Linked DNA regions of Coturnix japonica. The main gene of each other region encodes a partner of the protein of the gene in region 2 in a complex. Links are inferred from orthologs where the notes say so. Each region holds a gene or a part of one and is shown on either strand. Other genes may lie near its edges.

Region 1 (4,309 bases), on a different chromosome or scaffold from region 2:
TTCCAGCAGACTCCAGCTTTGGGATGGGGGAGGAAGACCCTCCCTCCCACGAGCTGCTGTTAAGTCCAGAGTAAATCAGGAGCCGCTCTGCCTTGCCCTCTGCAAGACACGGGTGAGCCCCTGCCCTCCTCCGCCAGCAAAATAACATGCTGGCTCCTTGAAGTACATGCTCCCTGCATATGAATGGAGGGGAAGGAGGAGGGGGCTGGAGCCTGGGGCCTCTGCCAGCTGCATTGTTCTATACAAGCTGTGGCTAATAAGGACCATTAGTGGTTCATTAATGGCACCAAACAGTGAGGGGGCATTTCAGGCAGGCCAGTGTCCCTCATTCCCTAACCTATGGCCTCTTTTCCCCCTCCTCACACTTGAGACAGAGGCATCTGCTTGGGGTAGGAGACAGAGCTGGCAGTGCCAGACCTCCACGTCAGGCCGGTGCTGACATCGCTGTACAAGGAGCCACCTCCACCAGCTCCAAGTCCTCCAGCAGCAGCGATGGCGGCCTGCCCACCCGCTCCTGCTCCCGCACCCCCGGCCACAGCGGCACCTTTGCTGGCCCAGCAGCAGCGGGTGCAGAGGGCCCTCCAGGACTCGAGAGTTTTGCCAGACCAGATCCAGAAGCCCGAGGTGATGCCCACCACGAGGCACATGAAGTACTTGAGCATGAAGACGGCGTAGTCAGGGCGGCGGGCCTGGTCGGGCTGTTGGTCGCGCAGACAGGGGCAGTTGTGCGTGGCCTCCCAGCGGGGCCGGTTGTGCTGCTCGTAAAAGAGACAGGCGACCACGCTGGCGGCCGGGACGGTGTAAAGCACGGTGAAGAGACCAAGGCGTATCATCAGCTTCTCCAGCTTGTGGGTCTTGGTGGGGCCGCCCTGCTGTTTGATCACACTGCGGATGCGGAACAGCGAGACGAAGCCAGCCAGCAGGAAGAGGGTGCCGATGAAGAGGTAGACGACCAGCGGCGCCAGCACGAAGCCCCGCAGATTCTCCAGGCTCTGGTTGCCCACGTAGCAAACCCCAGCCACTGGGTCCCCATCCACAGAGCTGAGCGCTAGCACGGTGATGGACTTGACGCTGGGGAGCAGCCAGGCAGCCAGGTGGAAGTACTGTGCGTAGCCTGCGATGGCCTCGTTGCCCCACTTCATGCCAGCGGCCAGGAACCAGGTGAGGGACAGGATGACCCACCAGATGGAGCTGGCCATGCCGAAGAAGTAGACGAGCAGGAAGACCACGGTGCACAGCGCCGGCCCCGTGCTCTCGTACCGCACGTGTTCGGCCACCGCCAGCTCGGGCTGCAGCTCGGCCGCGCCGCCCGCCGCCCCGCGTCCCCCCGCAGCCGCCCCCGCCGCCGCCGCTCCGCCGCCCGCCCCCGCCGCTCCGGGCCCCGCACCGCCCGCCCCCGCTCCGCCGCTGCAAGCCACCTTCTCGTGGCCGGCAACCAGCCGCACAATGTAGCCCACCGACACGAAGAGGTAGCAGCCCGACAGGAAGATGATGGGCCGCTCGGGGTAGCTGAAGCGCTCCATGTCGATGAGGAAGGTGGAAACGGTGGAGAAGGTGGAGAGGAAGCAGAGCACGGACCACAGGCCGATCCAGAAGGCGGTGAAGGCGCGCTCGTCGGGGCTGAAGTAGGGGTTGTGGCACGGCAGCGCGCAGTTGGCGATCTGCCCCGTCTTCACTCGGTTGTACAGCGGGTGCCTCTCGCTGGACACCGACACCATGGGCGCCCGGCACTGGCAGCCCGGCTCGCAGGGCGGCGGCGGCCGCGGAGCCTCGGCCGGGGGAGCGGCGGCGGCGGGAGGGGGCGCCCTGGCGGGGCCGCCGGGCCGGGAGCCGCGGAGGGGGGGCTTGGCGGGCGGCGGCGCTGCCGTGGTGAGGTCGGTGCGGTTGTAGTCCATGCACAGCGTGTCGGGGCTGCCCTGCTCCGGCAGCCGGTCGCAGCGCATCCTGTCGGGCCAGGCGAAGCCGTACTGGCGCATGAGCGGCGCGCAGCCCGCCTTGGCCCGCTCGCAGACGCTGCGGCAGGGAGGCAGCGGCTTCTTGTAGTCCTCCAGGCAGATGGGGGTGTACATGCTGCACAGGAAGAAGCGCAGGTCGCTGGAGCACTGGATCTCCACCAGAGGCCAGAACTGGTGCACCTCCAGCCCGGCCTCGTCCTGCGTGTCGTGGTTGAACTGGTTGGGCATGTAGGTGTGGTTGTAGCCGATGCCCTTGCAGAGCGGCACGGTGATCTCCTGGCACGACAGCTCTTTAGCCGACGACGAAGACGACGACGACGAGGCGGCGGCCGAGGCGGCGGCACAGCTGGCGCGTTGCAGCAGGGCCACGGCGGCGAGCAGCGGGGTGACGGCCAACAGGTAGCTCCACTCCATGCTGCGCTGCGGGCGGCGGCGGGCCCGGCCGCCTCCCCTCCTCCCGTCCCGCTCCGCTGCCCCGGCAGGTGAGGGGGCGGCCCCGCGGGCGCTGTGCCCGGCGGAAGGGGGAGGGGGGGGGAGGTGGGCTCCGCTCAGGGGAGGCCGCTCAGCCGGCCTCGCATGTCTCCGGACAGCACGAAGCTTCTCGCGGCCGCCAAGTTTCGCTCCCGGTCCCCGCCCGGCGCGGTCAATATGGCCGAGGCGGCCCCGGGACCAGGCGCTGAGTCCCGCGACGCCGCGCTCCCGGGCAGCGGTAGAGCCGGTGCAGCGACGGCCGGAGCGGCTCGTCCCGCCGGCCGCACTCACGCCGCGCTCCGCCGGCAGCCGGGCCGGGTCCCGGTTCGCTCCGCTCCGGTTCCAGCCGCGGACACACCGGCCGCGATCGCGCCACCTGAGCCGCGGGGTTGAGTGCGGCTGTGCCTCCGCGCAACTTCTCGTTCCTCGGCCCCGGCAGCGCCAGTCCGGCCGCCGCGCTCTCATGAATATTTATAGCGAGCGCCTCCGGGCCCCGCCCTCATCGCCCCGGCTGCCAATCGCTCCGGTCTGGGCGGTGAGAGCGGAGCCGACCCCGGCCCGCCTTAAGGTGGAGCGGCCGGTGGGTGCCGGTGCTGCGTGCCCTGCTCGGCCCTTGGGAAGGTTGTGCTTTTTGCGGGTGTTTGCTCCGAGTGGCAAAGCGCGGTTCTTGGCCGTGAGCTGCTTCTGCTGCGTGTGATCCCGGTGGAGCCGGGGATCGGCAGCTCGGGGCTGTGATGCGACGGCCGCTCTCAGCCCTCCTCGCCTTTGCACGTGCCTGAGGCCGGACTCAGCGCCCACGACTTCTCTGTGCGTGGCTTTGCTGGAGAGCAGCGTTGCTGCTGCGGGGGTGAGAGGGAGAAGTACACGGCAGTGACACGGGGGCGGCAGAAACGCGGAGTTTCAAACATAACCGCGTTGCCACCCTTTCCCTGCCACGCCACCGAGCCGCGTGCTCCGGATCCGTTCCCAAAGTAATAACACACGCGCTCACAGTGGCGTCCCACCAGGTGAGCGGCAGCGGGGTGTCCGCCCTCCGGATGCCGCAGCGCTCCCGCACGGTTCGGGCAGCCCCTCCCGGCCGCTGGAGCTCACACGGGTGAGCATCGCACGGGGCCAACAGCTGCTCCCCTCCCGCTGTGCCCGGGCTGAGAGCGGCCCCGAGGGACGTCTCCGTCTCCTTTCCCTTCTCCCCCCGCCACCTCCCCCTCCCCACTCCCTGCTCCGTCGCTTCGAGACACTCCGGACCACCTTAAGGGCCGGTGCGCGGCGGGGCCGTCCCGGGGGGTTGCCGTTCTTCCAGACCGGGGCGTTTGTTTGTTAATTGCGGCGCTGTTGCTCTTCGCGCTCGCATGGAGCTCCCGCTGCGGCCCTAATGAGTGCGAGAGCGGGAACGAGCCGCGCTGGGGCCGGAGGAGCCGGGAGGGAGGGAAGGAAATAAGGAAGGAAAGCGCTGCCTGAAGTTTGCTGCCCCTGCCGACAGGATCCTCCGCCGCCCCTTTCTCCTCCCCATGTAAATAGACGCGTAGATCTCCCAGCGAGGAGGAAATGGGCAATAACGAAGCGATAAACGCGTTCACTGTGTAATCATTGCGGTCATTTGCAGAACTGTTCTCTTCGCCCCCCCCCCCAGCCCACCTGAGGGGAGCGATCGCTCTCGGACGTGCCACGGAACTGCTGAGGACGTGGCAGCGCTGCTGTGTTGGGCAGTTCCAGGCTATGAAATTATAGTCAGAACTCCCCGAGCAGCGCACAGTTCTTTGAGCTCTCAGTTAGAACGGTCTGTAAGGTGCTGGGAGACAGAACAGCGCCCAGCGAATGGAAAACCCGTCCTCTAACTTGGGACGTGACGGAGTTCTGAGCCCTGCTTCTGTTAAAGAGCTCTG
Region 2 (4,415 bases):
GCAATGATGGAATTCACACTGGGCTACTGCTGAAATACATTCACGCTCTTCTGAAGTATTGACCTTATGTGTCTGACTGATGCATTCATTATGTAAACATCTACCCTGAGAGTACATTTAAAGTGCTCAGACTTAGCAAATGAGTTCAGAGACCACACCTGAATGAGACTGAAAGCCTTCGTCTGGAGACAGAACAGCCAGCACTTGGAAAATATGAGCTTAAACTTCATGGTAAGCCTGAAGCTCCGGTGTTGTCTCTCTAGCCCAGAGGACCTGTGCCCATGACTCGTGCTGTGCTGGCAGTGGTTACCAGAAGAGCTCCCTGAGCCAATGAAGGACTGACTGAAGCGGCACTGAAGTCATAGGGACTCCCACACAGCACATTCCCTCGTCACCAAATTAAACACGTGTTCCATCTTGCTACATTCCACACTTAGGCACAGTGAGAAGTTTCATCAGTTTTAGATTATCTCAAGAAAAACAGTATGAATTAAAAGCCATTGTAAGGGCTGTGCTCAAGTGCATTTTTTATTTCACAGTGCATCCCAAGCTCCAAGCTTCTGTCATGATCCAGCACACTCCTCTGTTCAGATGTCTTTATTCTGCACGTCTTGGTATCGGACAAATCATCATCCCATTAAAGCAAATCACCATCTCCCAGTACAGCACACCACAGGCAGCAGCTAACCCAGCTCCGGTGAATTTAAGAGCAATTCTTGCTGAAGGTAACGTTTTAACGAGAGTTATTTCAAACGCTTCTACTTTTTAAGAGCCAGACATAAAACATCTGCTATACAGCATTAAGCACTTCAATATTTTCAGAGAAAAATACACCCTTGCCATAGTTCCTGAGTAACTCTCAGAGGCAGAGAGCCCTCCCTCCACAGAAGCAGCAAGTGCAGCAATTGCCCTGCCTCACCTCCAGGTCAGTGCAACACACATCTCACAGAGGTTTATCATTATTCCAAGCCACGTTAATAAAACCAACTCCTGCCACGACCACATACAGAGCAAGGACACTGCTCCACAGTGAAGTTATTTCATGGCCATAGCATTCCAAATCCACTCTACCAAGCTGAAGCTTCAACACCAGAGAAGTTCCAGCACATTCCCAATCCTGCTGATCTATTTACGTACTTGTGAGATAAGCACATCAAAATACTTCTGAGAGGTAAAAGCCCCTTAAAGTCAGGCGTCTGCTCACAGGGCCGGGGAGCTGGAAGCAGGTTCCTCCTCAGCACACACAGCTGCTCTGCCCCACGTGCACAGAGCACGCTCATCCCTGGGGCTCACAGCTTCATCAACAGGTCTGGAAGGCAGCAACTCAGTGCCACGATAACAAAAGCGCTGCCTCTACAATGAGATGAAACAAATTCATCCTCCAAGTTACAACTTAACATCACCGTGAACTGCATTATGCTTTTACCCTAAGACTATTAAAAGTTCTCTCCTTAATAAATAAGAACCAGAGAATTGCATGAGTTGGAAGGGACTCTCAAAGGCCAACTCTGTGGCAATGAGCAGGGACACCTACACTAGATCAGGTGCTCAGAGCCCGTCCTGCCCGACCTTGGGTGTCCCCAGGCATTGAGCATCCACCACCTCCCTGGGCAACCACCCTTATTGTAAAAACTTTCATCCTTGTACCCAGTCAAAGGCCACTAAATATTTCAAAGGCGTTTGTAAGACCAGCAAGTAAACGTGTAGCAGCCACGAGGAACACTATGAGCTCCTCATGCTCCATATAAAACAGCTGTGAGTTCACTTCTTGAAGCTGCATAGCTTAACTCACTCAAGTCCGAACATCTTCACACCGACACGAGTGCTCAGAATGGAACGAGTCTCACTTTGGCTTTTCTGAAACTATTTGGCAAGACGGAGGTCAGCGTTAGGAGAAGGGGCACTCCGAGATGCACACCTTCCTCACGGAAACAGGACAGAACGAGCAAAACTTCACACACACCTACACGAACTTCCAACTAAAAATAGAGAGCGGCGATGCCAGCAGCCAGCGCTCCCGTTCCCAATGACAGCGTTAATAACTGCAGCCGCTTCGTTAAGGTGGGTGGCCCAATAAAGGAGGCCCCGTGGTGCCCTCCTGCCCTACTCGGCCGCACCACCGACTTTTCGCAGCCGGCCGGGAAGCATCGCAGCGCAGCGCGGCACAGCGCGCAGCAGGAGCCCCGCACGTGCGGAGCCCAGCGCCCGCCCGCCGCCCACGGCCCTAAGACGGAGCCCGGCCGCGCAGGGGGGGCCGAGGGGGGGCCTCGTTCCCCCACCCCCCTCGGCAGCCCCGCCGAGCCTCGGATTCCGCCCGTGAGCGACACCCGACACCAGCTCCTCCAAACCCCGCACAAATCCGGGACCGCGGAAGCGCGGCGCGGGGGAGGGGGGGGTGGGAACGCGCACACGACTTTTGTCTCTCTTTCGCGACCGGACGCGGCCACCGAGAGTCCCCCCGTGCAGCCCGGTCCCCGCGAGGAGGGGACGGGGAGGCCTCTGCGTGCGGCGGAGCCCTCCGCGCCCCGGGCCGGGCAGTTGCGGGCACACACGCCGGCTCCCCGCCCTCCCGCAGCCGCTCCCGGGGAGCCCCGCTCCGCCCGTCCCGTCCCGTCCATGTGCGCGTCTCGCCCCGGCGGAGTTCAGGGGAAGTTTCTCCAAACTCCGCCAACAAAAGGGGCAGCAGCTCCCTCCGCCGTTCCCCCCCCTCCCCGCCCCCCCTTCCCGTTCCCGCAGCACTCACCCCCGGCCGAGCCCGGCTCGCAGCGCAGCACCGAAGCGGCCAGGAGCCGCAGCAGCAGCAGCAGCGGGAGCGGCGGCGCCGCCTCCATGTTGTGCCGCAGCAGCAGCTGCCGGAGCGGAGCCCGCCGAGCGTCTCAGGCAGGTTCCATGCTCGGGGCGCTGCGCTCGGCGGGGAGGGAGGCGGGAAGGGGGAGGCGCCGCTCCCGGCCCTCCTCCTCCTCCTCCTCCTCCTCCTCCGCCCGCTCCCCCCTCGCTCCTGCCTCCCCGAAGGGGGCTGGGATCCTCCCGCTCGCGAGGCGGCCCGGGGAGGAGCCGTGCGTCCGCACAGGCCCGCGCCGTGCACCTGGCGGGGAGCGGCGGATCGGGCTCGGGCCGGGGATCCTCGAGCTCCTGGTCTCTTGCCGAAGCGTTTGGGTTTGTTTTGCTTCTTTCCCGGCTCCCCCCAGAACGCGAGGGGCACGAGAAGGGGCGGACAAAAGTGCTCACTGTGTGTTTACAAAGAAACTACTTGTGCATCTGCGCTGAGTGTGCGCTTACCTGCTCCTTTACGCAGCTGTTTTGTTCCCAGGTGGGGGTTTTCCTTCACCTTCCTCTTCCCAGCAATACGAGCATCTCCTCACAGTGCTCTGTGTTCGCATCACGAACAAAGTCACTTTCCAGCAGCAGTTCAGTTGCTTTTCCCCCCATCAAACACGCAGCCTGTTGATACAAGTACATGAGCGGTGAGAAATGGGCAGAAGCTGCTCTGTGACACATGGCAGGGGCTGAGCTGTGCCACCTGCAACCCAGACATCCCACATCTCCCTCATTCCCAGCTACCACAAACACCTCAACAGCAGGGACGGAGTCAAGAATTTCCCTTGGAGTCTCCATTTTCCCTTGTGCCAACACCAAATTTACCATAGGAAATAGAAATACTACAGTCTATACACAGACAGCATCATCAAGGCATTCCCTCATAAATCACATGCTTAACCAATAGATATTTAAAAGTTGCTTTTCCTTTCAGACAATGGATGTGTCCTAATAGATCTGCCTTGCTGTAGGTTCTGCAGCCATGGTTCAGATTTCTTCTCAGTGCCCAATGGACCACTACCCATCTCCAACAGTGGGACTAAAAGCTCAGGAATTCTTTTGGGACCTGATGGTCACCAGGTGCAGGTTTCCCCCTTTCTTAAGAAGGGTTTAATGTTGGGATAGTGTTGAGGAGTTACAGAAGGTCTATAGCACTGACCTTCACACTAACCCACAAAGGAAAATAAAGCTTCCTGCTCTACCTTCCTGCTTGTTAAACACATAAAGAATGCTTACTTTAAAGATGTCCGATTCCAGGAGGCATTTTAAACCTCAGCGTTCTTTAAGATGGGAAAACCAGCAGCTGGTCTTCCTTGATAGAAGTTCCACAATAAACCAGAGCCCAGATCAGAGCCGCTGTGAAACACTAATGGCAAAACTTTGTACAAAGAGATAAAGATGGTTCTGACTGAGAGATTTCAACAGAGACCAGCATTTTTCAAAGGGAAGTACCTGCTGTAAGGAGAGTTACTGAGACTGAGAAGATCCACCAGTGACTGCTCAGAGCCCCACACCAACCTTTGCTGTGATGAAGGACTATTTGCAGGCACAGCCCACCGAGCTTCACACCATGTGGAAGTTCGTCCTTTGCAGTAGTG

What was found.
Region 1: LRP5 (region 2) and FZD8 share a complex: the UniProt entries of both Homo sapiens proteins name them as parts of the wnt-signaling complex. The link is inferred for Coturnix japonica from reciprocal best matches to the Homo sapiens genes LRP5 and FZD8.

The regions. Positions count from the first base shown.
Region 1 is NC_029517.1:11,565,383-11,569,691, reverse strand, and holds the start of FZD8 (frizzled-8), read right to left. Parts: upstream 2,895-4,309; 5' UTR 2,892-2,894; coding exon 360-2,891; 3' UTR 1-359. UniProt on the Homo sapiens protein: Receptor for Wnt proteins. Component of the Wnt-Fzd-LRP5-LRP6 complex that triggers beta-catenin signaling through inducing aggregation of receptor-ligand complexes into ribosome-sized signalosomes.
Region 2 is NC_029520.1:8,359,166-8,363,580, forward strand, and holds the start of LRP5 (low-density lipoprotein receptor-related protein 5), read right to left. Parts: upstream 2,929-4,415; 5' UTR 2,832-2,928; coding exon 2,744-2,831; intron 1-2,743. UniProt on the Homo sapiens protein: Acts as a coreceptor with members of the frizzled family of seven-transmembrane spanning receptors to transduce signal by Wnt proteins.